4 linked regions of the Pelodiscus sinensis genome follow. The protein of the gene in region 1 binds, or shares a complex with, the protein of each later gene. Links are inferred from orthologs where the notes say so. Each region holds a gene or a part of one and is shown in the gene's direction. Other genes may lie near its edges.

The links.
Region 2: RBM15 (region 1) and METTL3 share a complex: the UniProt entries of both Homo sapiens proteins name them as parts of the WMM complex. The link is inferred for Pelodiscus sinensis from reciprocal best matches to the Homo sapiens genes RBM15 and METTL3.
Region 3: RBM15 (region 1) and CBLL1 share a complex: the UniProt entries of both Homo sapiens proteins name them as parts of the WMM complex. The link is inferred for Pelodiscus sinensis from reciprocal best matches to the Homo sapiens genes RBM15 and CBLL1.
Region 4: RBM15 (region 1) and VIRMA share a complex: the UniProt entries of both Homo sapiens proteins name them as parts of the WMM complex. The link is inferred for Pelodiscus sinensis from reciprocal best matches to the Homo sapiens genes RBM15 and VIRMA.

Annotation. Positions count from the first base shown.
Region 1 is NC_134737.1:17,765,865-17,773,586, reverse strand, and holds the start of RBM15 (RNA-binding protein 15), read left to right. Parts: upstream 1-4,705; 5' UTR 4,706-4,943; coding exon 4,944-7,722. UniProt on the Homo sapiens protein: RNA-binding protein that acts as a key regulator of N6-methyladenosine (m6A) methylation of RNAs, thereby regulating different processes, such as hematopoietic cell homeostasis, alternative splicing of mRNAs and X chromosome inactivation mediated by Xist RNA.
Region 2 is NC_134740.1:757,119-764,214, forward strand, and holds the start of METTL3 (N(6)-adenosine-methyltransferase catalytic subunit METTL3), read left to right. Parts: upstream 1-4,090; 5' UTR 4,091-4,176; coding exon 4,177-4,270; intron 4,271-5,432; coding exon 5,433-5,623; intron 5,624-5,813; coding exon 5,814-6,212; intron 6,213-6,464; coding exon 6,465-6,640; intron 6,641-7,093; coding exon 7,094-7,096. UniProt on the Homo sapiens protein: The METTL3-METTL14 heterodimer forms a N6-methyltransferase complex that methylates adenosine residues at the N(6) position of some RNAs and regulates various processes such as the circadian clock, differentiation of embryonic and hematopoietic stem cells, cortical neurogenesis, response to DNA damage, differentiation of T-cells and primary miRNA processing.
Region 3 is NC_134711.1:27,033,798-27,040,889, forward strand, and holds the start of CBLL1 (E3 ubiquitin-protein ligase Hakai), read left to right. Parts: upstream 1-4,076; 5' UTR 4,077-4,202; coding exon of another isoform or gene 4,203-4,215; intron 4,216-7,092. UniProt on the Homo sapiens protein: E3 ubiquitin-protein ligase that mediates ubiquitination of several tyrosine-phosphorylated Src substrates, including CDH1, CTTN and DOK1. Targets CDH1 for endocytosis and degradation.
Region 4 is NC_134712.1:40,435,189-40,442,805, forward strand, and holds the start of VIRMA (protein virilizer homolog), read left to right. Parts: upstream 1-4,604; 5' UTR 4,605-4,779; coding exon 4,780-4,959; intron 4,960-7,617. UniProt on the Homo sapiens protein: Associated component of the WMM complex, a complex that mediates N6-methyladenosine (m6A) methylation of RNAs, a modification that plays a role in the efficiency of mRNA splicing and RNA processing.

The DNA of each region.
Region 1 (7,722 bases):
GTATATATTAATCTGTTGTGAGCCTGTCTCGCCTATACCCTGGAATACTTATATCTGTATAAGCCTATCTGCCCTATGACTGTGCAATTAATTATATGTAGGCCTGTCTCTGATACACATCTAAAGATAATTTTGAGATCTTAATTTCCATAGACAGACACTTTGTCAGATTTACACTTCCAGTATACACTTCTGATCACTCCTGGGCCCCCACTAACACATTAGGGGGCATGGATCAGCCAGTGCTCACCTTACTCTTCCTGTTGATACCCAGCCCACACTGGGGAAGCTAATGATCCAACCATCAGACCAAATGTGGTGCAGAACTCTGGTCACTTGCCACCTAACGCATGTTGTACATACGCTAAGAAGACTAAGACATTGGGGTTATTAACTCCCAGCCATTTGAAATCCAGCCCCTGGTTGAGGAATGCCGGTTGTGGGATACCAGCTCCTTTGAAAAGAGCTCGATAAAGATGGGGAGAGACGCCATCCAGTGGACTGTTAGGAAAAAAAGTCTCCTTCCAGTTCCACCTCTGGTTTGTACTGAGCTCAGCAAGGGAGCCATTTTATCTCCATGGATACGTGACACATGGATTGATGGATGTTTCAGCTAAAAACACAGTAAGTGACATCAGACTTGCTGCTCTGGAAAGCAGAACGGGATATTTCAGACTTTTTAGGACTAATTGGATAGAAATTCTGCTTTAGCAAATTAATTCTCTTTCTTTCTCCTGGGGATTATGAAAACGTTGCCTTTCCCTTGTTGTAACACACTTTGTTTGCCTGTTTGTACAACATCAGGTTGATCTGTGAAACAAAACTGCTCAGTTTCACTCTCGGTCTCTGGTCAGTTTCACTTTCTGCTTCTCCTGATTAACACTTTGCTGTAGCATGCAGATTCCCAGCACTGGGTGGGACCAGGATATTTTAAAATGACCAGTCTATTTCCTTTAACTATTATGAGCATTTCATTTGGCTAGAGGGTCTAGAGGCCAAAACAGGGAGTCAGAAGATTTGAGTTCTAACCCTGAGTTTGCCATAGACTTGCTCTGTGATCTCTAGCAAATTATTTCTCCGCTTAGTACCTCACTTTTCATTTCTGTAAAACAGGAGACACAATAGTAGGTCCACCCCCTCAGCAAGGGCAGGGAGATGAAAAACACTGTCTTTAAGTATTATTAAGGTGCTTTATCACCATTCATTAAGGCTTGTAATATCACAGTGAGATAGGTAAGTGCTATCAGACCTATTTCTTAAGTGGGTAAACTGAGTTGAGAACTTGTTGAAAAAATGTATATATCTTCCAGGAAGAAAATGCAAAAGAACCTCAAAGCTTTTTTAATGTTTGCACAGTTTTTTTTATTTTTCAACAGAACTAAACATTTTCTTTCTTTCTGCTTGATGAAAAGGCTTCATTGAGCTCTAGAGTTGAGTAGTGTTTGGTCAGATCTTGACTTCGAAGGATCAGTAAACCACACTTGGTTTCCCTTTGGTTCCTTTCCTTTTTCTCTTCCAGTACTATGATAAAAGAAGAGACCCTGCAAAAACTAGCCTGAATCAAGAGTAGGGTGTAATTTAAACCCATAAAAAGCAAATACTCTGCAGGTTAAAGCAGAAACATTTCACTTTCACTAAGGCCTTGTCTATACGACACAATTTTGTCAATGAAAGTTACACTGACAGTCAAAAACAGCATAATTCCATCGTCTGTGCATGGTCACACAATGTTCCTGTCGGCAGAGTGCATTCACACTGGTGCATTAGCACTGACAATCAGAGCAGGGCACCGTACTTAGCTATCCCTCTGGGCTTCTCCTGGGTAAGAAAGGGCCTTCGTGGCTTGACTCCCATTGATCTGCTTGGAGCTGCTCTGCATTTCTCCCACCCTATCTGGCTTGTCAGTCACTCCTCAGGGCAGGGACTGAAACCACTGGTGGGAAACAGTGGGTCCCACTTGTCATCCCCGCCCCCATGCTTTATGAAAATCATGCAAAATGGGTCATCATGTGACCTATCATTCAAGGGCCCATGATCCCTTGAATCTGTATCTCCTCTGTGTGTGCATGTATCATTCTTGCATGACAAGTTAGAATAAGAAGGAACCTGTTTTATTAGCTCAGGCATTTCAGGAAAAGCCATTAGTGATACTTTAGGAGCTTAATGGCTCGGTGCGCAAGTCCTGTGAATGGTTTTGTTTTCCCTGGAAGCCCAAACTGTGATTGGACTTACGAAGACATGTGACTAGGCCCTCTGATGCAGGGACCCATTTTGGATCTGCCACTTTTTCCTCTTTTTTCAAGGTGAGATAAATTTGAACTGAGCACAAAGAATTCCTGCCATGGGTAAAGAGGCTGGAAGGGGGAACAAACAAGAGAGAGAGTCTCTAGGCACCAGGAGACCGCTGTTTCGCCATCTAAGATGGCTGCTGGAAACATCTAAGACTGAAGAGAAGGATCGGGCCCAAGCTAGAAGGCTGCCAATCTTGTGAAAGAGATTGGAACAAATGTTCGGGTAAGAATTTGCATGTAACAAGTTTCCTAGTGTATTAGGATTAGAAGGCATGTTTTGATTATTTTGGCTCAGTAACTGATTTATTTTCACTTGCAGTCACTTAAATCCTACCTCTTATACTTAATAACATAAAATGCTTTTGTTTATTATCAAACCCAGTGTAAATCATTATTATGTGGGGGAGGGCAACCACTTCCATTGGTAAAGGGTGAATTTATAAGATGTTATATATAGGGTGTTGCCAACTGCCCTATATAGCTGAGCTCCCCCAGGACTGAGCTGCTTCATGTCTGCTGGGGAGTGGTTACCTCAACTCTGTGCCTTGGCCGGGGGAGACCAGTGCTTTTGGCCTAGGAGCACAGTATGGGGGAGAGCCTCAGAGAGCAGGAAGGCAGGCTCAGTGGCTTGATCAGGACATGGGGTGACAACCCCAAGGAACTCTCTGTGATACTAAAATCATAGAATCCCTGGGGTGGGCAGAGACCTCAGCAGGCATCAGGTCCAGCCCCCTGCCCACAGCAGGGCCAACCCCAACTCAATCATCCTAGCCAGGGCTTTGTCAAGATGGGACTTAACCTCTAGGGATGGAGATTCTACCCCCTCCTTAGGGAACCCAGCCCAGCGCTTCCCCACCCGCCTAGGGAAACAGTGTTTCCTAGAGTCCAGTCCAGACCTCCCCCACTGCAACGTGATCCAACCCCTCACACCACAAATCTCTCACTTTGAAGTTTCTCAATTAAAACCAAAGGCAGCTATTGACCAGATCCCTGTGGGGTTTGCAAAACACAAACACCAGTTCAAAGGGACCTTCCATTTCGAATCAACCCTGTTTGCTTCCCACCCCTAATACCAGACCTAGTCCGGGTTATTGCCGGGTTACAAACCCAAACCCATTCAGTGCCCAGAGGGTCGCATCCCCCGGCCATCAGACTGAGCCCGCAGGGATCAGAGATCACAGGGTCCGCCCGGGCCCGATCCGGAGCTCCCCCAAACCGGCCGGCGGGCCCGATCCGGAGCCCCCCAAACCGGCCGGCGGGCCCGATCCGGAGCTCCCCCAAACCGGCCGGCGGGCCCGATCCGGAGCTCCCCCAAACCGGCCAGCGGGCCGATCCGGAGCCCCCCAAACCGGCCGGCGGGCCCGATCCGGAGCTCCCCCAAACCGGCCAGCGGGCCCGATCCGGAGCTCCCCCAAACCGGCCAGCGGGCCGATCCGGAGCCCCCCAAACCGGCCGGCGGGCCCGATCCGGAGCTCCCCCAAACCGGCCAGCGGGCCCGATCCGGAGCTCCCCCAAACCGGCCGGCGGGCCCGATCCGGAGCTCCCCCAAACCGGCCGGCGGGCCCGATCCGGAGCTCCCCCAAACCGGCCAGCGGGCCGATCCGGAGCCCCCCAAACCGGCCGGCGGGCCCGATCCGGAGCTCCCCCAAACCGGCCAGCGGGCCCGATCCTGAGCTCCCCCAAACCGGCCGGCGGGCCCGATCCGGAGCTCCCCCAAACCGGCCGGCGGGCCCGATCCGGAGCTCCCCCAAACCGGCCGGCGGGCCCGATCCGGAGCTCCCCCAAACCGGCCGGCGGGCCCGATCTAGGGACCCTACCGGGCTCAGCAAAACCACGTGCGCGAACCCTTTGCGGCCCGCCTGCCGGCCTTAGCGTGACTGACTCCTCCAGCAGCCTATCCACGGACCAGCCCTTTCAATCCAATCAGATGTTGCGGAAGATTTCAATCGGCCAATGAGGATCTGGGGGTGGGGCTGGCTGCTGCCCGCGCTTGGATGGGAGAGACGTGGCCTTCATCCAATCAGATCGCTAGGGAAAGCCTTTGGGTGACCAATGAGAGCGACGGGGGCGGGATGACTGTGGCACGCGAGGAATCGTTGATTGACGGAACCCGCATCTAATCAAACGCGAGGGGTTAAGCGCGCTCCGGCCAATAGCAAAAGATGGGGCGGGACGCTGGTGCCGCAAGTAGAACCGTTAGAAATGATAGTCAGCTCCCCCAGTCACAGAAAGGAGACTGTGCCACCTGACCAAGGAAATTACAGCGCGGGGGCAGCGAGACCGCGAGAACCGTTAGGATTGACAGGTTGACTGTCCAATCAGAAAGCAGCGGTTCCGTAGCCGACCAATCAGAGCAGTCGAGGTGGTTCGTCCGTTCCTGAGCCGTGAGCGCGAGGGAATCTGTACGGGAGACAGCCCTCCCTGCCAATCACAACCTCACTCTGCTGCTTGGCGGGCGGGCCTTCCGCTGTCGACGGCCGAAGCCACGGCCTACCGACAGCCTCCCTCTCCAATGAAGGGCGCGGGGGGCGATTTAACTGTCCAATGGGCGAGCGGGGGGCGGGGCTCATTTCCGCGGCGGGTTCCAAGATGGCGGCGGGTGTGTGAGCGCGGCGGTTAGTCAGGCAAGCCGTCCCGCGGGGCCCCGCCGCCATGAAGGGCAAGGAGCGCTCCCCGGCCAAGGCCAAGCGGTCGCGGGGCGGCGGCGAGGACTCGGCCGCCTCCTCCTCCTCGGCGCGGGGCGAGCGGAGCAGCAAGAAGCCCGGCGGCTCCGGCGGCAGCAACGGGGGCAAGGCGGCGGGCGGCTCGGGCGAGGGCAGCAGCCGGCGGGGCCTGCACCTGGACAAGGCCAGCCGGGCCGGCAGCCGCGAGTACGAGGCGGGGGCGGCGCCCAGCTCCGGCCGCCACGGCTACAGCAGCAGCAAGAACGCGGAGTCGTCGCGCAGCAGCGGCAGCCGGGGCGAGTCCCGCGCGCCGCCCGCCCCCGCCTCCGAGTCGGGCGGCGGGAGCGGCGAGTACAAGACGCTGAAGATCAGCGAGCTGGGCTCGGCGCTGAGCGACGAGGCGGTGGAGGACGGGCTCTTCCACGAGTTCAAGCGCTTCGGCGACGTGAGCGTCAAGATCAGCCGCCTCCCGCCGGGCACCGGCGCCAGCGACGAGCGCGTGGCCTTCGTCAATTTCCGCCGGCCGGAGGACGCCCGCGCCGCCAAGCACGCCCGCGGCCGCCTGGTGCTCTACGACCGGCCGCTCAAGATCGAAGCGGTCTACGTCGGGGGCAGCAGCCGGCGGCGCAGCAGCCGCTCCCCGGCCCTGCTGGACAAGGATTCTCATTCGCCCTACGGGGCCGCGGCCGTGGGCGTGGCGGCGGCCGCGGCCGCAGCTGTCAGGCACCCTGCGGCTGGAGCAACCCAGAGGGCGCTGTCGCCGGCGGGTGGAGGAGGGGGCCTGGGCTATCGAGACTACCGGCTGCAGCAACTCGCGCTGGGCCGCCTGCCCCCACCGCCCCCCCTGCCCAGGGAGTTGGAGAGGGAACGGGACTATGGGGCTTTTTATGATACCCGCGTGCGGCCGGCCTATGGGTTGGAGCGAGTGGCTGGAGTGGCTGCAGCTGGGGGTTTCCGTGGAGGAGGAGGAGGTGCTGGAGTTGCCGGGGAGGAGGAGATCAGTCCTGAGGATGATCAGAGAGCCAACCGTACTTTGTTCCTGGGCAACCTGGACATCACGGTGAGCGAGTCGGACCTGCGCCGGGCCTTCGACCGCTTCGGGGTCATCACAGAAGTGGATATCAAACGTCCAGGTCGTGGCCAGACCAGTACCTATGGCTTCCTCAAATTTGAGAACCTGGACATGGCGCACCGTGCCAAGCTAGCCATGTCTGGAAAGGTGCTGCTACGTAACCCTATCAAAATTGGTTATGGCAAAGCCACCCCTACCACCAGGCTTTGGGTGGGTGGCCTTGGGCCCTGGGTGCCACTGGCTGCCCTGGCACGGGAGTTTGACCGTTTTGGCACCATTCGCACTATTGATTATCGTAAAGGTGATTCATGGGCATACATCCAATATGAGAGCCTGGACGCAGCACAGGCTGCTTGTGCCCACATGCGTGGCTTCCCCTTGGGTGGGCCAGACCGCCGCCTACGTGTGGACTTTGCTGACACGGAGCATCGCTACCAGCAACCCTACCTGCAGCCACTGACCCTACCACCACCTGCCCACTATGAGCTAGTTGCAGAGGCAGCTGCTTTTGGGGCTCACCGTGGGGCTCCCCCAGACCCACTTCGGGGGGCCCGTGACAGGACACCACCACTGCTCTATAGAGACCGCGACAGAGATCTCTATCCTGAGGCGGAATGGGTGCCACCGCCACCTCCTGTACGGGACAGGAGCAATCGAGCCGCTGCCTACGACCCACTGGAAAGTCTGGAGCGCCGGCGGGATGGCTGGTCCTTGGAGCGGGACCGAGGGGAAAGGGAACTGGGTGGCGGCAGCAGCAGCAGTAGAGACCAACCCAGGAAGCGAAGATTGGCAGAGGATGGTGGCCGGCACTTAGACCGCTCTCCAGATAGTGAGCGTTCATCTGCGTCCCGTAAGCGACATTGTTTGGCCACAGCCTCCCCCCCAGACCGCAGTCCTGATCTTGGTGGGAGCAGGGAACGCTACACTAGTGACACAGAACGCTCATCCTCCCGTTTGCTCCTGTTGGATCGGCCATCACCTATCCGGGAGCCACGCAGGGGCAGTCTTGAAAGAGGTCTGAGTGAAAAGCGTGACCGCAAAAACTCTGCTGAAAGAGAGCGGAAACACCGCACCTCCACAGCAGCTGTTGCCCAGGAATGTAAAAGCCCAGCCAAAAAGGATGAGCGTACCACGGAAGGTGGCAGTGGTGGAGGATCCCGGCTCAAACCTCCGCCCCAGAAGCAGCAGCAGCAAGATGGAACATCGCAGGCTGCTGGGGCCCCCAAACTATGCCTGGCTTGGCAGGGCATGCTCCTCCTGAAGAATAGTAACTTCCCGTCCAACATGCACCTTCTTCAGGGGGATCTCAGTGTAGCCAGCAGCCTCCTGGTAGAGGGAGCAACTGGTGGCAAAGTGGCTCAGCTCAAGATCACCCAACGTCTCCGCCTGGACCAGCCCAAGCTGGATGAGGTCACGCGCCGTATCAAAGTGGCAGGGCCCAATGGTTATGCCATTCTCTTGGCTGTGCCTGGCACCTCGGACAACCGCTCCTCATCTGGAGCCACTGAGGCTGCCACCACCTCCACACAGAGGCCACTCAGGAACCTCGTGTCCTATCTAAAGCAAAAGCAGGCTGCCGGAGTGATCAGCCTCCCTGTGGGGGGCAACAAAGACAAGGAGAACAGCGGGGTCCTGCACGCCTTTCCACCCTGCGACTTCTCCCAGCAGTTTCTGGACTCCACAGCCAAGGCCCTGG
Region 2 (7,096 bases), on another chromosome or scaffold:
GCAGGGAGCAGGAGAGACACACACATATACACGCCCCTAGCACGGTCACACACCGGGCAGGGAGCAGGAGAGACACACACATATACACGCCCCTAGCACGGTCACACACCAGGCAGGGAGCAGGAGAGACACACACATATACACGCCCCTAGCACGGTCACACACCAGGCAGGGAGCAGGAGAGACACACACATATACACGCCCCTAGCACGGTCACACACCGGGCAGGGGGCAGGAGAGACACACACATATACACGCCCCTAGCACGGTCACACACCGGGCAGTGGGCAGGAGAGACACACACATATACACGCCCCTAGCACGGTCACACACCGGGCAGGGGGCAGGAGAGACACACACATATACACGCCCCTAGCACGGTCACACACCAGGCAGGGGGCAGGAGAGACACACACATATACACGCCCCTAGCACGGTCACACACCAGGCAGGGGGCAGGAGAGACACACACATATACACGCCCCTAGCACGGTCACACACCGGGCAGTGGGCAGGAGAGACACACACATATACACGCCCCTAGCACGGTCACACACCGGGCAGGGGGCAGGAGAGACACACACATATACACGCCCCTAGCACGGTCACACACCGGGCAGGGAGCAGGAGAGACACACATATACACGCCCCTAGCACGGTCACACACCGGGCAGGGGGCAGGAGAGACACACACATATACACGCCCCTAGCACGGTCACACACCGGCAGGGGGCAGGAGAGACACACACATATACACGCCCCTAGCACGGTCACACACCGGGCAGGGAGCAGGAGAGACACACACATATACACGCCCCTAGCACGGTCACACACCGGGCAGGGAGCAGGAGAGACACACACATATATACGCCCCTAGCACGGTCACACACCGGGCAGGGAGCAGGAGAGACACACACATATACACGCCCCTAGCACGGTCACACACCGGGCAGGGGGCAGGAGAGACACACACATATACACGCCCCTAGCACGGTCACACACCGGGCAGGGGGCAGGAGAGACACACACATATACACGCCCCTAGCACGGTCACACACCGGGCAGTGGGCAGGAGAGACACACACATATACACGCCCCTAGCACGGTCACACACCGGGCAGGGGGCAGGAGAGACACACACATATACACGCCCCTAGCACGGTCACACACCAGGCAGGGGGCAGGAGAGACACACACATATACACGCCCCTAGCACGGTCACACACCGGGCAGTGGGCAGGAGAGACACACACATATACACGCCCCTAGCACGGTCACACACCGGGCAGGGAGCAGGAGAGACACACACATATACACGCCCCTAGCACGGTCACACACCAGGCAGGGAGCAGGAGAGACACCCATATACACGCCCCTAGCACGGTCACACACCGGGCAGGGAGCAGGAGAGACACACATATACACGCCCCTAGCACGGTCACACACCGGGCAGGGGGCAGGAGAGACACACACATATACACGCCCCTAGCACGGTCACACACCGGCAGGGAGCAGGAGAGACACACACATATACACGCCCCTAGCACGGTCACACACCGGGCAGGGAGCAGGAGAGACACACACATATACAGGCCCCAGCACGGTCACACACCGGGCAGTGGGCAGGAGAGACACACACATATACACGCCCCTAGCACGGTCACACACCGGGCAGGGAGCAGGAGAGACACACACATATACACGCCCCTAGCACGGTCACACACCGGGCAGGGAGCAGGAGAGACACACACATATACACGCCCCTAGCACGGTCACACACCGGGCAGTGGGCAGGAGAGACACACACATATACACGCCCCTAGCACGGTCACACACCGGGCAGGGAGCAGGAGAGACACACACATATACACGCCCCTAGCACGGTCACACACCAGGCAGGGAACAGGAGAGACACCCATATACACGCCCCTAGCACGGTCACACACCAGGCAGGGAGCAGGAGAGACACACATATACACGCCCCTAGCACGGTCACACACCGGGCAGGGGGCAGGAGAGACACACACATATACACGCCCCTAGCACGGTCACACACCGGCAGGGAGCAGGAGAGACACACACATATACACGCCCCTAGCACGGTCACACACCGGGCAGGGAGCAGGAGAGACACACACATATACAGGCCCCAGCACGGTCACACACCGGGCAGTGGGCAGGAGAGACACACACATATACACGCCCCTAGCACGGTCACACACCGGGCAGGGAGCAGGAGAGACACACACATATACACGCCCCTAGCACGGTCACACACCAGGCAGGGAGCAGGAGAGACACCCATATACACGCCCCTAGCATGGTCACACACCGGGCAGGGAGCAGGAGAGACATACATATACACGCCCCTAGCACGGTCACACACCGGGCAGGGGGCAGGAGAGACACACACATATACACGCCCCTAGCACGGTCACACACCGGCAGGGAGCAGGAGAGACACACACATATACACGCCCCTAGCACGGTCACACACCGGGCAGGGAGCAGGAGAGACACACACATATACACGCCCCTAGCACGGTCACACACCGGGCAGGGGGCAGGAGAGACACACACATATACACGCCCCTAGCACGGTCACACACCGGGCAGGGAGCAGGAGAGACACACACATATACACGCCCCTAGCACGGTCACACACCGGGCAGGGGGCAGGAGAGAGACACACATATACATGCCCCTAGCACGGTCACACACCGGGCAGGGAGCAGGAGAGACACACACATATACACGCCCCTAGCACGGTCACACACCGGGCAGGGGGCAGGAGAGACACACACATATACACGCCCCTAGCACGGTCACACACCGGGCAGGGAGCAGGAGAGACACACACATATACACGCCCCTAGCACGGTCACACACCGGGCAGGGGGCAGGAGAGAGACACACACACATTCACATGCAGCAAGGGGTACATGTTTCCTGGGGGCGAGGATGCTGCACAGGCTCCCCAGCAAATTACAGATACCCCCTCTCCTGGCTTGGGTCTTTGCCCCTCCCTTGCCAGCTTCCCATAATGCTCCCCAGCTGCCTCTGGTGCAGGGCCCCTCCAGCCTTCCCTCTCCGTCCAACCCTGCTGCCCTTCTTGTGATTTGCCTCTCTTCCCCCCGACTAGACCCCCACATGCATCTGCCCTGTGGCCAGGGAGAGTGGCCCCCTGCCAGCCCCAGGCTAAAGTCAGGGCTGCTGGGGAGTTCTTTGCAGCTAGGGGAGGATTCGAGGCCAGCAGGTCTGGCAGAGTTGGGATGGGAAGCCGGCAATGCAGCGCTTCCCCGTTTCCCATTGGCAGCAGTGGCCCGCAGCGGGGGAAGTCGGGACCCCTGTGAGGGGGTGAACTGCAGAGGGGCAGGGGGGATGAGTGTGCTGTCACCCAGCCCTCTCCAGCTGCCCCCACAGGTGGCTGCATGTGGGGGAGGGGGCACTGTTTGGGGGCGCACAGCGCTGGAGGAAGAGCACATGGTGTCTATCAGCCCCCAGGATCGGGACCAGGCTGCTTCGTGCCAGGATGGGCCTGGCTTCACACCCTCTTGCCAGTGACCAAGATGGCCGCCTTCATGCGCCTGCAGGGATGGCAGTCAGGACCGTGCCAGGAACCAACATGGCCACCATGGCTTCGCAGTAGGGCGGTGGCAACACCCTCTGTTCCCTGCCTTCATGTGAGACACCACTGACGGGCTGCAGCCCCGGCGCCTAACCCCCAGCATGGCTGGCCGGAGTCCACCTACAGGGGACGCCTATGACGAGCCAGTGCCAGGAACAAAGATGGCTGCCAAGACGGCGCCTTTCGTCCCTAGCCACGGTGCCGGCCGCACTTTGCCAGAGCCAGACATGGCCGCCGTGGGAGGGCTTTAAAAGCAAGATGGCCGTCGTTTGCCAGTAAATGAAATGGCCGCCTTATTTAAAAAAAAAAAAAAAAGATAACCAAGATGGTGGCTTAAGATACCCTTAACCAAGATGGCTGCCTTGCGCACAACACCCGAAACCAAGATGGCGCCCGCTTGCCAACAGACGTTATGGCGGCGGCGCCTTCGCGGTGCGGGCAGAAACCGGAAGTGCGCACGTCTTATCCCCGTCCCCCCGGAGGCACTTCCGGCGGCTCGGGTTCGCGGCCCGGCGGCGCAGCATCGGGCAGGGCGGCGGGGCCGCACCATGTCGGACACGTGGAGCTCGATCCAGGCCCACAAGAAGCAGCTGGACTCGCTGCGGGAGCGGCTCCAGCGGCGGCGGAAGCAGGATCCGCTGGGTGGGTTGCGGGGGGTCAAAGGGCAGGGAGGGGTCGCGGGGTCAGAGGGCGCGAGTGATGCAGTGAGGTCAGGGGGCAGGAGCAGGGTCAAAGGGCGCGAAGGCAAGTGGGGTCAGTGGAGTTCAAAGGGCACACGGGGTGGGGGTCAAAGGGCACAAGGCCATTAGGAACCCGTAAGGGTTCAGAGGTCAAAGGGCACCGTGCAGTGGGGGGTGGGGTGTCTTTGAGGAGTTGGGGTCAAAGGGCACGGGGGCAGTGGGGACACAGGGTCAAAGGGCAAGCGGTGTGAGTGGGGGCCAGGGGCAGGACGCGGGGGAGGGGCAAAGGGCACCAGGTGGCGCGGGGGGTGGGAGCAGCGGCCCAGCAGGCTGCCTGGCGGGGGGGGGGGGTGGGAGCAGCGGCCCAGCAGGCTGCCTGGCGGGGGGGGGGGTGGGAGCAGCGGCCCAGCAGGCTGCCTGGCGGGGGGGGGGTGGGAGCAGCGGCCCAGCAGGCTGCCTGGTGCGGGGGGGGTGGGAGCAGCGGCCCAGCAGGCTGCCTGGTGCGGGGGGTGGGAGCAGCGGCCCAGCAGGCTGCCTGGTGGGGTGGGAGCAGCGGCCCAGCAGGCTGCCTGGTGGGGGGGGGGGGTGGGAGCAGCGGCCCAGCAGGCTGCCTGGCGGGGGGGGGTGGGAGCAGCGGCCCAGCAGGCTGCCTGGTGCGGGGGGTGGGAGCAGCGGCCCAGCAGGCTGCCTGGCGGGGGGGGGTGGGAGCAGCGGCCCAGCAGGCTGCCTGGTGCGGGGGGTGGGAGCAGCGGCCCAGCAGGCTGCCTGGTGGGGGGGGGGGGGGTGGGAGCAGCGGCCCAGCAGGCTGCCTGGTGCGGGGGGTGGGAGCAGCGGCCCAGCAGGCTGCCTGGTGGGGGGGGGGGGGGGGGTGGGAGCAGCGGCCCAGCAGGCTGCCTGGGGGGGGGGGTGGGAGCAGCGGCCCAGCAGGCTGCCTGGCGGGGGGGGGGGTGGGAGCAGCGGCCCAGCAGGCTGCCTGGTGCGGGGGGTGGGAGCAGCGGCCCAGCAGGCTGCCTGGTGGGGGGGGGGGTGGGAGCAGCGGCCCAGCAGGCTGCCTGGCGGGGGGGGGGGGGGGTGGGAGCAACGGCCCAGCAGGCTGCCTGGCCTCATCCTGTTTCTCTCCTCAGATCTCAGGAACCCAGAGCTGGTGTCACCCTTCCGCAGCGACAGTCCGGTGCCCGCAGCCCCCACGCCCAGCAATGCCGCCAGGGAGCTGGCCACGGACCCCGAGCTGGAGAAGAAGCTGCTGCAGCACCTCTCCGACCTGGGACTGGCTCTGCCCACTGATGCCCTCTCCATCTGCCTGGCCATCTCTACGGTGAGAGCCCAGCCCCATTCCCCTGCACCCCCACTGATGCTGCAGAGCCCTCTTCCCCATCTCCTGGGCTGTTCCCTCCTTCCCCAGCTCAGGAGATCCACTGACGTGCTAACCCCTCTCTCCCTCTCTGGGGGTAACTTGGGGGGTGACTCCACACTTGCCCTGCCCCACCACCCTGTGTGTCCTGCAGCCAGAGGCGCCCGTCACCCAGCGCAGCGTGGAGGGCCTTCTACAGAAGTTTGCGGCGCAGGAGTTGATCGAGGTGCGCCGGGGGCTGTTGCAGGACGATGAGGAGCAGCCCACGCTGGTCACTTACGCTGACCACTCCAAGCTCTCAGCCATGATGGGCGCCGTGGCAGAGCGCAAGGGCCCTGCAGAGCAGGGCAGCACTGGGGGCCAGAAGCGATGGGCAGAGCAGGAGACTGGGGGTGCTGTTTCTTCCCCCGCCGGCACTGCTCCCTCTGCCTCAGCCGCCTTGGAGCCGGCCAAGGAGCCGGCCAAGAAGTCTCGGAAGCAGGCATCCGACCTGGACCTGGAGATTGAGAGCCTGTTGAGCCAACAGTCCACCAAGGAGCAGCAGAGTAAGAAGGTACCAGCCGGACACCTGGGTCCCACCCTGGCCATTGGATGGGGATCCAATGCTGGGTCCTCTCCCTGCTCAGGTGGGAGGGCAGGGGGCACAGAGCCAGGGGACTTTCTTGCTCTGGCTCTACAGTGAGTGGGATCTAGAGCTGGGAGCCCAGTCTCCTGGGTTCTCTCCCAACACCTGGGAGCAGAGTGGGATGGGGGGGAAGGGAACCCCAGACTCCTGGGTTCTTCTCCTTGCTCTCCCACCCCCCAGGTGAGCCAGGAGATCCTGGAGCTGCTGAACACCACAACGGCCAAGGAGCAGTCGATCGTGGAGAAGTTCCGGTCGCGTGGCCGCGCCCAGGTGCAGGAGTTCTGTGACTATGGCACCAAGGAGGAGTGCGTGAAAGCCACGGACGCCGAGCGGCCCTGCCGCAAGCTGCACTTCAGGTTGGAGCCCAGAACACCTGGGTTCTCTGCAGCTCTGGGAAGGGGGGGGGGGGGCGTTGGTGGGTTAGAGCCGGAGCGCCCGGGTTCTCTGCAGCTCTGGGAAGGGGAGGGGGGGGGGCGTTGGTGGGTTAGAGCCGGAGCGCCTGGATTCTCTGCAGCTCTGGGAAGGGGGGGTTGGTGGGTTAGAGCCGGGGCGCCTGGATTCTCTGCAGCTCTGGGAAGGGGGGGGTTGGTGGGTTAGAGCCGGGGCGCCTGGATTCTCTGCAGCTCTGGGAAGGGGGGGGTTGGTGGGTTAGAGCCGGTTCTCTCCCATCTCTAGGAGGGAGTGGGGCTGGTGGGCTTGGGCCCTGGGCTCTGGGAGGGGAGAGGTCCAGCTGGGCGAAGGGCAGGGTCGATAACCCGGACACCTGGGTTCCACGTCCGTGTATCTTTCCCTTCCCCGCGTCTGCCCAGGCG
Region 3 (7,092 bases), on another chromosome or scaffold:
AAGCTGAATGATATATCTGTCTCTAATGACACAGTATTGAGACAGATAAATGAGATATCACAGAACATCAGTGAACAAGTAGTGGATGAAATGAAGTCTCCATTGTTTGCCATACAATTGGATGAATCGACCGACGTCGCATTGTGCTCTCAGCTATTGGTGTTCGTATGATACATGGTTGAGGGAGACTTCAAAGACGAGTTTCTGTAAGACTCCTGATACCACCACAAAGGCTCAGGATGTGATAGAAATTGTTAACAATTTTTTTGAAGTACATGGTCTGGATTCGGTAAATCTTGTGGGTGTCACCACTGATGGTGCACCTGCCATGCTGGGCTCAAGATCGGGCTTCCAAATGCTGGTGAACAGCACGCTCCTATGGTAACCGGAGCTCATTGTTTCATTCATAGGGAAGCTTTGGCATCAAAAAACATTGCCTGATCAACTGAACACCATTTTCAAAGGGTTGGTGAAAGTGGTGAATCGCATCAAATCATCAGTGCTGAACACCAGGCTGTTCAAAAGATTTTGCCTGGACATGGGTTCCGACTTTGATGTGTTGCTTTTCTACACTTCTCTACAGTGGTTGTCAGCAGGGAACGTACTCAACAGAGTTTTTCAGTTGAGAGAGGAGTTGGATTTATTTCTCTAGGCTCAAGGAAAACAGGAATTCCGAAATGTGCTGACACCATCAAATTTAGAACTTGTGTATCTTGTTGATATTTTTGGAATCTTGAACAAACCGAATCTTCAGCTGCAAGGGAAAGGTGCAAATCTGTTCTCTCACCAATGCATCGTCAAGGCTTTTCTTGACAAATTGGAACTCTGGATCGTAAGAGTTGAAGGCAATAATTTGATTTAATTTCCATATGTGGATGCCATGGTCGGGGAAAAGGAAGCCAGTTGGATGCAAACTCTCAATCATTTACGGAAGCTACGAGATGAATTCCAACGATACTTTTTGGAGGTGGATAGGACAAGGGATGGATTATCTTTCATCAGGAATCCATTTACAACAGATGTTAACAGTGTTTCAGAGGATCTGCAGGAGGAATTCTTGGATCTGAAAAATGATTTTGCAGCTCAAGACATGTACCAGCAGTCTACTATAGAGAAGTTTGGGGCCAGCGTGACCGGGAGTTACCCAAATCGGTCAGCACATGCAGTCAGATTTCTTTTGCCATTTGCATCAACTTATATGTGTGAGACTGGATTTTTGTGTTTGTTGCATGTTAAGTCCAAACAGAGGAATCGGCTTGCAGTGGAAAGCGATATTCATTGTGCATTATCAAGTACCACTCCAAACATTGAAAAGCTTGTCAGTGAGAAGAGAATCCAAAAATCTGTTAGTAAGAAATAAGTTTCAAACCAAAATATTTGTCTGCTCTTTTTTATCATGTCTCAAAAATGAGGTGGTCCACAAAAAATTTTTGATTGGCCTAGTGGTCCGTGGACTGAAACAACTTGAGAACCACTGTTCTAGACCATCCCTGATAGTAGGTTAGATAAATGTCTCTTAAATATTTCCACAGATGGAGATTCCACAGTCACCCTAGGCAATTTATATCAGTGTTTAACCACTCTGACAGTTAGGAACTTTTTCCTAATGTCCAACCTAAACCTCCCTTGCTGCAGTTTAAGCCCAATGCTTCTTGTTCTATCTTCAGAGGCCAAGAAGAACAAGTTTTTTCCCTCCTCCTCGTGACACCCTTTTAGATACCTGAAAACCGCTATCATGTCCCCCCTCAATCTTCTCTTTTCCAAACTAAACAAGCCCAATTCTTTCAGTCTTCTTTCATGGGTCATGTTCTCTGACCTTTAATCATTCTTGTTGCTCTTCCTATAGTTGATGAAAATTCTATTGACTATTCACTTATTTAATTAATCTAAATGTAACATTCCTATCAGTGATTTGCAATCTCAACCACTCCACTCCAAGCTGGTGGGTCCCAATAAGGGGTGAGGTGGGTGCTTGGATTGGGAGTCAATGCACCACGATGGAACCCAGGCCAGGCTCCCACACATGCCTACGTGGAGCCCGTCCACACATCAGGTGCTGCTCTGATGTCAAGTCTGTCACAGCCTGGCCACAAGGGGCCCCGCACCAAAGGCACTGCAGTCCGCATCAGGCTAAAACTTTACTTGCCTGCTGCTGGGACAAAAGACTCCAGAGAAGTTGCCGTGGGAGACAAGTCCCACGTGCAGGCAGTCCACACAACCCTGGCAGCTCCTGCCACAGTGGATACCTGATGCCAACAACTCCCCACATGGGCAGGTGCAGGGTGCCTAGCCTGCAATGCCCCCTTCCTGGAGTTGTGCATTGCCTCTCGCTGTCTGTAGCGCTGCTCACAGCCATAACTTGCCCCAGCCTCCCGTTGCCTCAGGCGCCCAACCTGGCACCAGCTTGCAAGAGCTGAAATATACAATCCCAGCCAGCGCCCCTCTAGTCACCTTTATCCCAGTGGAGGGGGGAGGGAGCTTAGCTGAGCTCCAGCTGCGGACCACTGGGCTGCACTTTGAGAACCACTGATTTAAGAAAAGCCACAGGGCTCTTAGATTTGTAAAGCAGGACAAAGCCGGCGCTCTGTGCAGAACCAGGAATCATCTGATTACCAGCTCAGCTGAAGCCAGGTTACTATGTGGTTCTGCCCTTTTAAATCTAAGACGACCCACATGGCTCTTACTAAAATTAAAGGGGAGAGCAGCAGTGGGGTCTCAGTGAAGGCAGGCTGGGAGGGAAAGTGGGGCCACTTACATGCTGCTGCTTTACCGGTGGTTCCCAACAGGACTATCTGTCTGCCAGAGAACAGAGGACCAGAAGTCAGGCACCGCCTCCTTCTGCTCATATTGGCTAGGTTCTAGAGCAGAAGGAAAAATCTTTAGGAAGGTCCCTGCATACTTGCATTCCTGCAGGAGGGAGAGGAAACAGCAGTGCGCAGCTGCTTCTAGCTGCGCTGCTGTTTCCAGCACATTTTTAGTGTTTACGTGGCCACCAGTTCAGATTTAAATGTGGGACTGTCCTGGAAAACCCAGAACATATGGTCAGCATAGCCATGGGGCGGCAGGGGGAGAGAGGAGGGAGGAGCGCTCTCTCTGCTAGTCTTTTAACTTTTGCTTTTTTTCATAATGAACAAGCTGCCAGAGCCATGCAATAGAAGGAGAGTCTGCAGTCAGTCAGACCCCAAAGTTGGTGTCTTGATCAAGTGGTTACAGACGAAACTTAAGAGAGCCACTGGTGGAACCCTAAGGGCTCACACCTCGCCAAAGCAAAGCGCCCAGCTGAGTGGCATCGCAGCCTCTGCCCCCAGTTAGGGTGCATCTACACTGCACCCACAGCGTGAAATAAGCTACACAATTTGAGCTACACAAATTGCATATCTTATTCTGAGTAAATGTTGAAATAGCTTATCTTATAACTTGGCACTGTATACGCAGCACCAAAATAACTCGCTATTCCGAAATGTCCCTTCTTCTTTGTGGAAGAAGGGTTAAAAGACGTCAGAATAGCGAGCCCCTTATATATTTCCAAATAACAGGCACGCCGTTAAGACGCAGGGCAGCTATTCTGGGATACCTCCGATGGCCCAAATTAGCTGCAAGGAGTAGACGCAGGCTTACAGACTAGCAAGGCTACAACTCCGAGACTTGTCTCACCAGAGCTGAGCAGCAGAGCCATGGAAAGAAATGTCGTAAATACCCTCAGGCATCACCTGCAATTTAGCCTCAATTCTTCCCTCCCGGGATGGGGGCTGCAGCCTGGGCCTGTCGGTCAAGCCCTTCCTCTCCCCCCGGGGGGCGCTCGCAGAGACGCGCAGGGCGCGAACCTTCTCAGACTCTCTGCGGGCTGCCAGCAGTCCCTAAGCGCGGCCCGTGGCGGAGAGCAAGTCACGGGACTACAGCTCCCAGCATGCCAGAGTAAAAAAAAAGTCCCCCCCCCATGCGATGGGCTAGGAACCACAGTCCCTGCCCGGGACCGCGGTGCATACTGGGAGATGTAGCTCACGTGGGGCTTATTCGTTTTGCCCACCGAAACGAGGCCCGCAGCCCTCCCGTTAAGCGCGGGGTCTCGGCTTAGTTCAGTTCTCCCCTACTTGACCATCCGCCCCTTGGCGGCGACGGCTTCCGCTTCCGCTGTCCAGGCGCTTCCGGTGCCGCCCTTCCGGCGTGGTGATTTCCGCTCCCACGCTGCCCCGCGCCGAATCATGGACCACAATGGTGAGGAGGGGAGAGGGAGGGAGCCGTATTTATACCCGTCCCCGCCCGGCCGGGCCTGGCCCGGACAGTGCGTGGTGTGGCCTGGGCAGTCGGACACGGGGAGGCCCCACGGGGAGCGGGCCGGAGGAGCGGCCCGATGCCTGGGGCCTAGTGCGGCCTGGACCCCAGCGCCGCCGGCCCATAGTACGGGTGGAGGGGACTCGGCCGGGCTCCGCCGTCCCTGCGCCCCCGAGCCTCCACTCTGACCGCGAGCCCCAGCCTCCGCCGGGCCCTGCCGGGGAGCGGGCACCGATCCCCACCGGCCTCGTTCGGCGCGGCCCCGAGCGGGCGGGGAAGGCCGCTGGGACTGTTGGCCCGGGGAGGCGCGGTCCCCTTCGCCGCCCGCGCAGCTATGGAGCGGGGCGGGGGTGCTGCAGCAGACCCCGGCTACACCTCCCTGCCGTAGCAATGGCTGAGGTTCCTGGGGTCGGGCTAAAGGATCAGGACGCCTTGAACGAACTCTGGTTCTCGGCGTGTAGTTAGCAGAGGCGCAAGTGGCTGCGGATGGGGAGCACCTCGCTGTATCTGCTAAGGTCTAGGAATATACCGTTTGTATAACGTGCTGCACTTTTTCTGTAGCTGGTCAGAACAGGCAGACTCCCGCTTTTGACTTCTGCTGTAAAATAGCATTGCTCTTTGAAATTGGCTGCCCACGAGTGCATATGAAAAGAAAATATTTTATTATAAAAAATGAGTAATGATTTTCCAATATGGGGAACATCTACAATTGGTAATCTTGCCTCTATGATGCACCATTTCCATTTGCCTCTCTGTCCAAACCTGATATCATAGTTAAAATATAGTTGCAGTGTGTAAACTGTTCAGCCAGTGCATCCTCCTCCCATAGAAGTAGGAACTGTTTACTGTTGTGTGCTTTTTACTTTTTGTCTCTATTGTAATAGTGACAAGGTTGAATTGGCTTTTTTTTTCAGATTGTGAATCCAAAAAGAAGGGAGTACTGTCACTTGCTATGGGTTTTGTACAGTGTCTATTACAGGGAGATCTGTTGAGGTCTTTAGGCACTACTATACTAGTATTTTTGGTGATCTCAGTAATCTTTTAATATGACTATCAGTCGTATCTGAAATTGGCCAGCAGGGGTCAATCTAGAATAGCATAGGACACGTTTCCCTAGGGCTGAACAGTTCAGCCACTGTAACTCTTCCAGCCTCTGTAGACCTGCCCAGTGATGGACCACTGTAGCTACTAACAAGGGGATTGGATTGCAAAGTCCCATTGAAAAGGCTTAGTTTTAATCTTTACCTTGTTTAGAATATTCTGAACCTCTTCCCTTAAACATTTTTACATTTCAGCTACAAGCCCTGTCCATATTTTAAACGTAAAACTAATTAAACTTTTGTTTCAAAGTGTTTCATAGCAAAACTTGTTTTTTGTGGTGATCTTTGCTGTCTAGCATGTTTATTCCTGTCCTAGCTTCAAGAGACCTGGAGTTAAAGGTTCAAGACAGGCGGGAATAATTTACAATACTGTTTTTATACGTTTCAGAGTGATAGTTGTGTTAGTCTGTAACTTAAAAAAAAACCAAGTAGTCCAGTGACATCTTAGAGACTAACAAATATATATAGTATCATGAGCATTCATGGGCAAAATCCACTTAAATGGGATCCTGCGGGTGGAGGGCCGCTCTGGCAAGGCCAGGACCTCCGCACCATGGGGAGCTGCTGCAGCCTGGCTGGAAGAAGTGGATTTTGCCTATAAAAGCTCATGATATTATATATATTTTTGTTAGTCTTTAAGGTGCCCCAGGACTACTTGTTGTTTTTATATGTCTACAAACCTGACAGGTACATTCCTTGAAAAACACAATATTTTAAATTATAATCATAGTTGATCCCTGTAAACTTCAGCAGAGCTAACTTGTTACTCTTCTTCAAAATTCTTTGCTGCAGGGCCTACAAGAAACTTCACAGTGCTTAGCATGCTAATAAGTTGAGGCCACTACCCATCATGCTATCATTATTGTCTCATTACCTCTCTGTGTTTCTCTGTTTTCTCTTGTCTTATACTTGAGTCTTAGACTGTAAATTATTTGGGACATGGACTGTCTTTTTCTGTATGTACAGCAGCTAGCATAGAAGGATTCAGATCCATCATTAGCAATTATAGGTGCTACAGTACTATAGATACATAATAAGGATGTAAAAGTGTAGTTGATTAACTGATAAGCAAAAGCTTATAGGTTAATGCTATAAACTACATGCATTTTTCCTCCTCCTCCACACACTTGCCAGTAAATTTTTTAGCAGGCTGGCCAACAGCCTGGCTTGTGACAGGTTCAGGACCTACCCCTGCTGCGGATCTGCATTTAAAGTGTATTAGGAGGCAGGCAGGTAGCCCAGCCCAGTTCCGGCTTGTGCGGGTCTGGGACCTCAGGCCATCCCCTAAACAGGGGCTGCTGCCACCTGCACTGCTGCTTTTTTTTTATCAGACGCAGCAGCACAGGGTAACAGGCAGCCAGTCCCCAAGGGAGCTGGTTTTTAAACTGGCTCCTCTCATGGACCAGCTCCCACATGAAAAGGGTCTTCGTGGGAGTGAGGTCAGAGTACATTGGCTGCTGGCCCCGCCATGAGGGACTATAGAATAGTTGACTGATAAGAATTCATGAGGTTACTTGACTATTCCATTAACTGATATTTAATATCCCTAATAGACAGGGCTCGCCGAGCGGCGGCGAGCTCTGCTCGCCAGCTGCACAGTTCTGCACTTTATGTATGCGCAGATTGTTCCGTGCCAGCTCTTCTGGGGTGCCACAGGCGAGCGAGTAGATTACACTATTTGTCGATCCCTGCTAATACATAATATTTTTATGAACAGGGT
Region 4 (7,617 bases), on another chromosome or scaffold:
GACTGAGGAGACTACACACCCCAAATTCCCCTGGCACACCAGAGCCTAGGGAGGGCAGGCTAGTATATTTCCTATGATCCAGCCCTGTGGTAGAGTGTTAGTGGGCTGAAGTGCCAGCAAGGGCTCCCCAATGCTGGGGGGGAGCCCTGAGCCTTGGGGGTCAGATCCAGGAAAGCTGGGGGCCCCAGGCGGCCCCTAGGCCTGAGGTTTCCCACCCCTAGCTAAGGGCTTCCCCCCATGTCCAGATTAACTCTTCTGGGGCCCAGGGTTGCTAGTAGATTTTGTGGTACCATAGGCTCTGAGGTGTGGTCAAAAATAAGGGGTTCAGTGTGCTGTAGGTGGCTGCTGGGGTGTGGGGTTGAGGCAGTATGTTAGGGTGCTGGAGCGGGCTTGTGGTGGTACAGATTCAGAGTCTGGGAGTGTGTGGGTCTATGGGGTCTGGGCAGATGGGACAGGGGGCTGATTACCTGGGGCATCTCCTGGAGGTGTGCAAATGGCTATATATTAGGGATGTAAAAAAACGGCTAAAATGTAAGCATGTAATTGTTAAAAATGCTACTGATTATAGCTTTATGCTGCAGAGTCCGCAGTGTGTCCAGCTACCTGGGGATAGGGTCGGGGGCTGCAAGCCAGTGCACACCAACTCCTAGCTATTGGCCCTGCTCTTGATGCTGGATGTGCAGTAGGCTCTGCAGTATAAGCTTTACACTACAGATCTCATAGCACAGGGTGACAGCCATCTTCCCAGAAGCAGGGCTGGCAGCCAGGAAAAAACATGTAACTGTAATGGAAGCCAATAAGCTGATGTTTATTAGTTAACAGTTGAAACATCCCTATTCTACATGGCTCTAACAAAAAACAGGACTATGTAGCACTTTAAAGACTAACAAAATGGTTTATTAGGTGATGAGCTTTCGTGGCCCAGACCCACTTCCTCGGTGGGTCTGGCCCACGAAAGCTCATCACCTAATAAACCATATTGTTAGTCTTTAAAGTGCTACATAGTCCTGTTTTTTGTTTCAGCTACACCAGATTTTGTTTCAGCTACACCAGACTAACACGGCTACATTTCTATCACTACATGGCTCTGCATTTGTAGGCAACCACTCCCACTAGCTGCGAGTACTTGCCAGTGGGAGCAACTGGGGTGTAGCCTGTGAGCAGGTTCTCCTTTTCTGCCGTAGAGGGACCTCATAATACAATTAGTCAGCTTCAGTATTTTGGATACCAATAGAGGACTTTTTCCTAGAATTGGCCTGATAATCTCTCTGGGCTCGTCTACACTGGCCCCTTTTCCGGAAGGGGCATGTAAATTTCAGCAGTCGTCGTAGGGAAATCCGCGGGGGATTTAAATATCCCCCGCGGCATTTAAATAAAAATGTCCGCCGCTTTTTTCCGGCTTTTAAAAAAGCCGGAAAAGAGCGTCTAGACTGGCCCCGATCCTCCGGAAAAAGTGCCCTTTTCCGGAGGCTCTTATTCTTACTTCAAAGTAAGAATAAGACCCTCCGGAAAAGGGCACTTTTTCCGGAGGATCGGGGCCAGTCTAGACGCTCTTTTCCGGCTTTTTTAAAAGCCGGAAAAAAGCGGCGGACATTTTTATTTAAATGCCGCGGGGGATATTTAAATCCCCCGCGGATTTCCCTACGACGACTGCTGAAATTTACATGCCCCTTCCGGAAAAGGGGCCAGTGTAGACGTAGCCTCTGTGTGTGTGTGTGTGTGTGTGTGTGGGGGGGGGGGGGGGTGGGGATTATTAGCATCTGGAGCAGGGATTTCCCATCAGGCAGTGCTTCCCTGCTTTCTGTGTCCCAGAGTTCAGTGCAGTTCTTGTTGGACTTTCTGTTCTCCATTCTGTACCAAGGGTCAGCAACCTTTCCGAAGAAGTGTGCCAAGATTTAACCTTCCTGCCTTGGCCTGTGCAGCTCTCTCAGGAGGGGCTCTCTCCGCCATGTGCCCCACTTGATCTCCTGCCCTGGGCTCTGCTCCAGCTTTTCCTGTGGGAAGGGGAGGAACAGCATGCACACACTTCCCTGGAAGCCAGATGGGTGCGATGCCTCGGGGCTTCCCCCACCCTTGCAGGAAGCCGGTGCTGGCTCCAATCTTATGTGAGGTGTGATGCTGGATCACCAACATGGGCTGCCTCGCCCATTTCCCTGAACCCCTCCCCCCAGGCCACCCCGGGGGGAGGGGTTCAGGGAAATGGGTGAGGCAGGGCAGGGTGGTTACCCCAGGGTTTCCAGCCCTGCTGGGGGTGGGGTCCCATGGGGGTCCCAGTTCATGACACCCTTGCTTTCCTTCTAGGGACTCAGGATCCCAGGGGCCAACACGGCTTTGGGGTAGGGGCACCCCCCCACGCGTTTTCCTCTCCCCTCAGCCACCACCACCCAGCCCTGGAGCTGCAGCCCGGGCAGCATTCCCCCGCTAGTGCAGTGGTTCTCAAACTTTTTGGTCTGGACCACCTTGCTCAATGCAAACCTTTCAGTGAACCACCGTTAATTACATAATTATGCATAAGCCATTTTGCTAGTGCTGCAGCTAGGGAGAATGGTTTAATTTAAATTATTAAACAGAATAAGCGTTTTAACTTTCTCATGTTAGTTTATCAAACTTCATTTTAAATTAAAGTAAAATATTAATTTATGTCCAACACAAGATTTCAATGTTTTCTTTGTCAGGGGTGAGGAACTATCAGTTGGGGACCACACAAGTGAGAAGCAAAAAACTACTCCAAAACCCCCCAACCCTCTGAGCCTGACTCCATCACACCCCAGTCTCCAATTTGCCCATTATCTCCTCATCCCTGTCCCTGGCCTCCATGGGTGGGGAAGGCAGGTCTTGGCTCTGTTTGGGGTCCCTATGCTGCCCAATGCAAGTGGGCAGGGAGCCAGGGTAGCTCTCAGGGGTACCTGGGGGTACTGAGGAGCAGGTTCCCCCACCCCATTGCTTCCCCTTCCCCCAGCTTCTCTGCATGCCGGTGAGACTGGGGCAGGCGGAACAGCAGCAACTTGCATGCAGGGATGGGGCCTCAATCCCACGAGTGCGTGTGTGTGTTCCAGCTCCGTGTAGGGTCTCTGATGTAGGGTCTCTGATGTCTGCTGGAGGCAGGTGGGGAGCTGGGGTGCCTCTCAGAGATACAAGGGGTGGACGCAAGTCAGGGCTTTCTTCACCTCCCCCCCTCCCATGCACCTGGAAGCCAGAGCTGGTGCTCCAAGACTCACAACTGCGTGGACTCCAATGAGAGAGGGTTGCGCTCCTGCTGTGGTCTCCACATACCGCTAAAAATGAGCTCGCATGCCACTTACAGCACACATTCTGTAGGTTGCAGATCCCTGCTGTATACTAATGGGCTATGTCTAGACTGGCATGATTTTCCGCAAATGCTTTTAACGGAAACGTTTTCAGTTAAAAGCATTTGCGGAAAAGAGCGTCTAGATTGGCACGGACGCTTTTCCACAAAAGCACTTTTTGCGATAAAGCGTCCGTGGCCAATCTAGATGTGCTTTTGAGCAAAAAAGCCCTGATTACCATTTTCGCGATCAGGGCTTTTTTGCGCAAAACAAATCTCAGCTGTGTACACTGGCCCTTTTGCGCTAAACTTTTGTGCAAAAGGGACTTTTGCCCGAACGGGAGCAGCATAGTATTTCTGCAAAAAGCACTGATTTCTTACAGTAGGAAGTCAGTGCTTTTGCGGAAATTCAAGCGGCCAGTGTAGACAGCTGGCAAGTTTTTCCGGAAAAGCTGCTGATTTTCCGGAAAAACTGGCCAGTCTAGACACAGCCATGGAGTGGTGTGAATGAGCCTAGGGGAGCTTTCAGAGGAGTTAGGTGTGTCTCCCCCCTCCCCTGTCTTCTGATTGACTTTGGTTCAAGCAGAGACTTGGGGGGGGGGGGGGGAGGTCTTTCATTAGTCTGAATGACTCATTCATCAAGAACCTAGTTCAATAATAAAAATGAAAGGTAGCAAGTGCTATAAGAATCACAAAGAATTGCTAAAAGCAGTAACTACTGTTTACTTAAATATACTACTTGAACATTAGCTATTAAAATAAAAACAAATAGTACAGTGATGGGCATTGCACAGGGTAATAAGTAATAGAAATAATATTTGGAAAGGAGCAAAACTATAATTCAAGGGGTCTGGTAGCACTTTATAAACTAACAAAATATGTTGATGGTATCATGAGCTTTTGTGGGCATAGCCCACTACGTGTTTTGTTAGTCTATAAAGTGCTACCAGGCCATTTTTTTCCTGTAACAGACTAACTCAGCAACCCCCTGAAGCTCTATAATTCAAGTGGGTTACAAGGATGGGAGTACAAGTTCAGTGAACCCTGACAGCAGATCAGACAAATCTGTGAAATGGTATGAAACTTCATGTCCTCTCTTTAGCCCCCTCTAAAATGTAGTCAGCAGAAACTTCTACATCGTGTGGGCAGGGGAAGGGCAGTGGCTTCCGCAGAGCTATTGAGCATGCTCCGTAACTCTCACTTTCTGGCTCAGTAGCTCTTCTGAGGGGGAACCACCGGCCCTACCCCCGCGCTGTGCCCGCACAGGTGCAGAAACGAGCTGTGCGGCGATCCTGCAGCAGCCCGCCCTTTACAGGGCGCCACTGGCCCCGGCTCGGGACTGCGCTTCCCGGCTGACACTTTTCCGGGGCTCCGGCCCGCACCAGCCTTGGCCCCCCCTGCTCGTGTGAGACACTGCACCGAGCGCCCCCAGGGTCAGCCGCGGCTCCAGCGCCAGCGTTCCTTCCGCTCCTCCGCCCAGCAGTCGTGTGCGCATGCGCTCGCGCCCCGCCGCTGAGCCTGGGGAGAGAGAGTGGAGGGCGCAGGCGCCGCGAATGACCCTGGAAGCGCTTGCGCTCACCCGGAAATGCTTCCGCAGCTGCGGAGCAGAGATGGCGGCGGACACGGCAACGGAGCTGTTGTTTTTAGACACTTTCAAGCACCAGAGCGCGGAGGTACCGGTGGGGCCCGCCGAGCCACCCCTGTCCCCAGAGAACGAGAGCGGGAGGCGGAGAGTCTTGCCCCTGGGCTGGCCCGCTGCGGGACCGCGAGCGCGGGGAGCCAGGCTGGGGTGGAGCGGGCTGGGCTCTGGCAGCGGCGGGGGGAGCAGACGGGGGCGAGCCTGGGCGGGGGCTGTGGAGGTGCAAGGACAGGCAGGTTGATGCTGCCTGCTCCAGAGCCGGCAAAGGGCCAGGACGTGGAGAGTCCGTAGGAGGAAGCGCGGTGACACGGGGAGAGCGACGACAGCGCGTGAGGGGGCGAGCGGACCCTGTCTCAGGATTGGACCACCATGACATCAGCATGCAAGGGAGACTCCCCCGTATCGCGCTGGGAAGCCCTGGCGTGGCCAGACGCTTGACGAACGCTTCTATGGCTTCTTGTGCATGGGATGATGGCAACGTAGAAATGCGGCGATTAACAGGCGGGTGTTAATGAGGAGCCCGCAGAGTAAGAGAATAGGAATTGCGGCGAGGAGTCCTGTGGCACCTTGTAGACTAACTGAAGTGTAGGAGCATAAGCTTTCGTGGGCAAAGACCCACTTCGTCAGATGCATGACGAATAGGAATTGATACGGAAGAAAGTTGGCAGGTCAAGTGTAGGAGAAGGGGGAAAATGGGAGCGGAATTAAAAACGAGATTTTTAAGGTTGTTTGAGGAAAGATGAGAGGACAAGTCAGGAACAAGAGTGCTTTTCTGGAGCCTGTGGTGCATCTCTGCCTTGCAGCAGTTAATGGGGAGATCGGGAATATTCACTTTAGCTCCTATGTCCTGTGTGTTCCATTGCACAGTAGGTGTAAGGTTCATTGTACTAAGTTCCCAGTCTCAGAGGGTGACCTTACAGAGAGATTCTCCATGTTGTTACCATAGAAGCCCAGTGTTGAAAGAATACTTGTATTGCAGCAGAGAATTTTGTCAGTGATTGTCACCTCACATGGTGGTACTGTGTGGGAGAAAGATGTATCTTAAGTGATCATGATGTCAAGAGTGAAATTGTCAAAAATGGATTTGCAGGAAGTCATTGAGAATTTAACTATCTTCAAAGAAACTAGACATTTATATTGCTGTCTCCTTGGAGTTAAAATGAAAGTGCCTAGTCTTTTTGCAGGGGAAAGAGGTAAATAGCAGCATTTTCCAAGGATCATTCTGCATTGGGACCAGTGCTGTTCAATGTATTTGTAAATGATCTGGAAAAAGGAGTAAACAGTGATGTGGTGCATTTTGCAGACAATACAAAATTATTCAGGATGGATGATTCCAAAGCAGCTAGTGAAGAGTTACAAATGAATCTTACAAAACTGTGTGACAAAGGGCAGGACAGGTTCCTGAGATGCTGTTTGCAAGAAGTTGAGAATGGGTGACACTTGATGATTTACCTATTAATACCTTCTGAACCACCTGGCATTGGCCATTGCTGAAGGACAGGATACTAGGCTTGATGGACCTTTGATCTGATCCACTGTGTCCAGTCTTATGTTCTAGAATCATAGTGTACAGTTCTCTGAAAACATTTGCTCAACTAGGGATGTAAGCAACTAGTCGACTACCCGATAAGCAAATGCTTAGTGGGTAGTTGAGTAGGAACTCAACTAGTTGTTCCCTCTTCCCCCACTGCCTCTGTCAGAAATCAGGTGGTAGATCACTGTTCCCGCTAATATTTTTTCATGCATAAGTGGAATACATTTTGTTATGCACAGAGGCATGTATGGATGTGCACCACCAATAGAAACACAACTTGCTGATTGTGAGTGCTCTACCAATCCGCTTGGGGGGATGGCAAATCTCTCCTGAGTAGCCCTCCTGAGGGCACATTTTACAAGGAATGCCGGTATAGATTACCCCACATCTACCTGCAGCAGGTTCTTACATTTTCCTCTAAACATCTCAGACTGGCCACTGTTGAAATACTGAACTAGGTGGAGATCAGGTCTGATCCAGTGCAGCAATTCCTATGCATACAACCTCCTGCCATTTGTACATACAGCCAAATAGTCAAATTTGGGGCACACAAATGATCTGTCTCTGGTGCACATGCTTTTGATAATGTGTGCTTAGTTCATAGTTGTTGTTTATCATTACTGTTAGCATTATGGCAAGTGCCTAGCGGCAGTGAACATGAGGGCTAGGGATGTAAAATCCTGTTTTATTAGTTAACTGGTTAAACATAATATTTAATCAGTTAACCCATTACAGGGGGATGGGGTGCCCAGAAACAGCACTGTAGAAACACACAACAAAAACTCTTGTTCTTGTTCCTTAGCTTCTAAACATTTTAGAACATGGAAACACACATTTTTTAGAACACTGAATACATTTGTGGCATATGTAAATGGTGATTATAACATAGCAAAATCCTTAATCTTCACCAGGGGAGACTTTAATGTCAGACTTTAGAACTAATCCCAAAGAGGTAGTCTTCCTTAGGAACACAAGAATGGTCATACTGGGTTACGCTAGAGGTCCATCTAGCTTAGTATTGTCTTCCAGCAATGGCCAGTGCCAGTGCTTAAGAGGGAATGAACAGAACAGATAATCTTCAAGTGATCCAGTTCCTATCTTTCATTCACAGCTTCTGGCAGACAGAAGTTTGGGACACCATCCCTGCCCGCCCTGTCT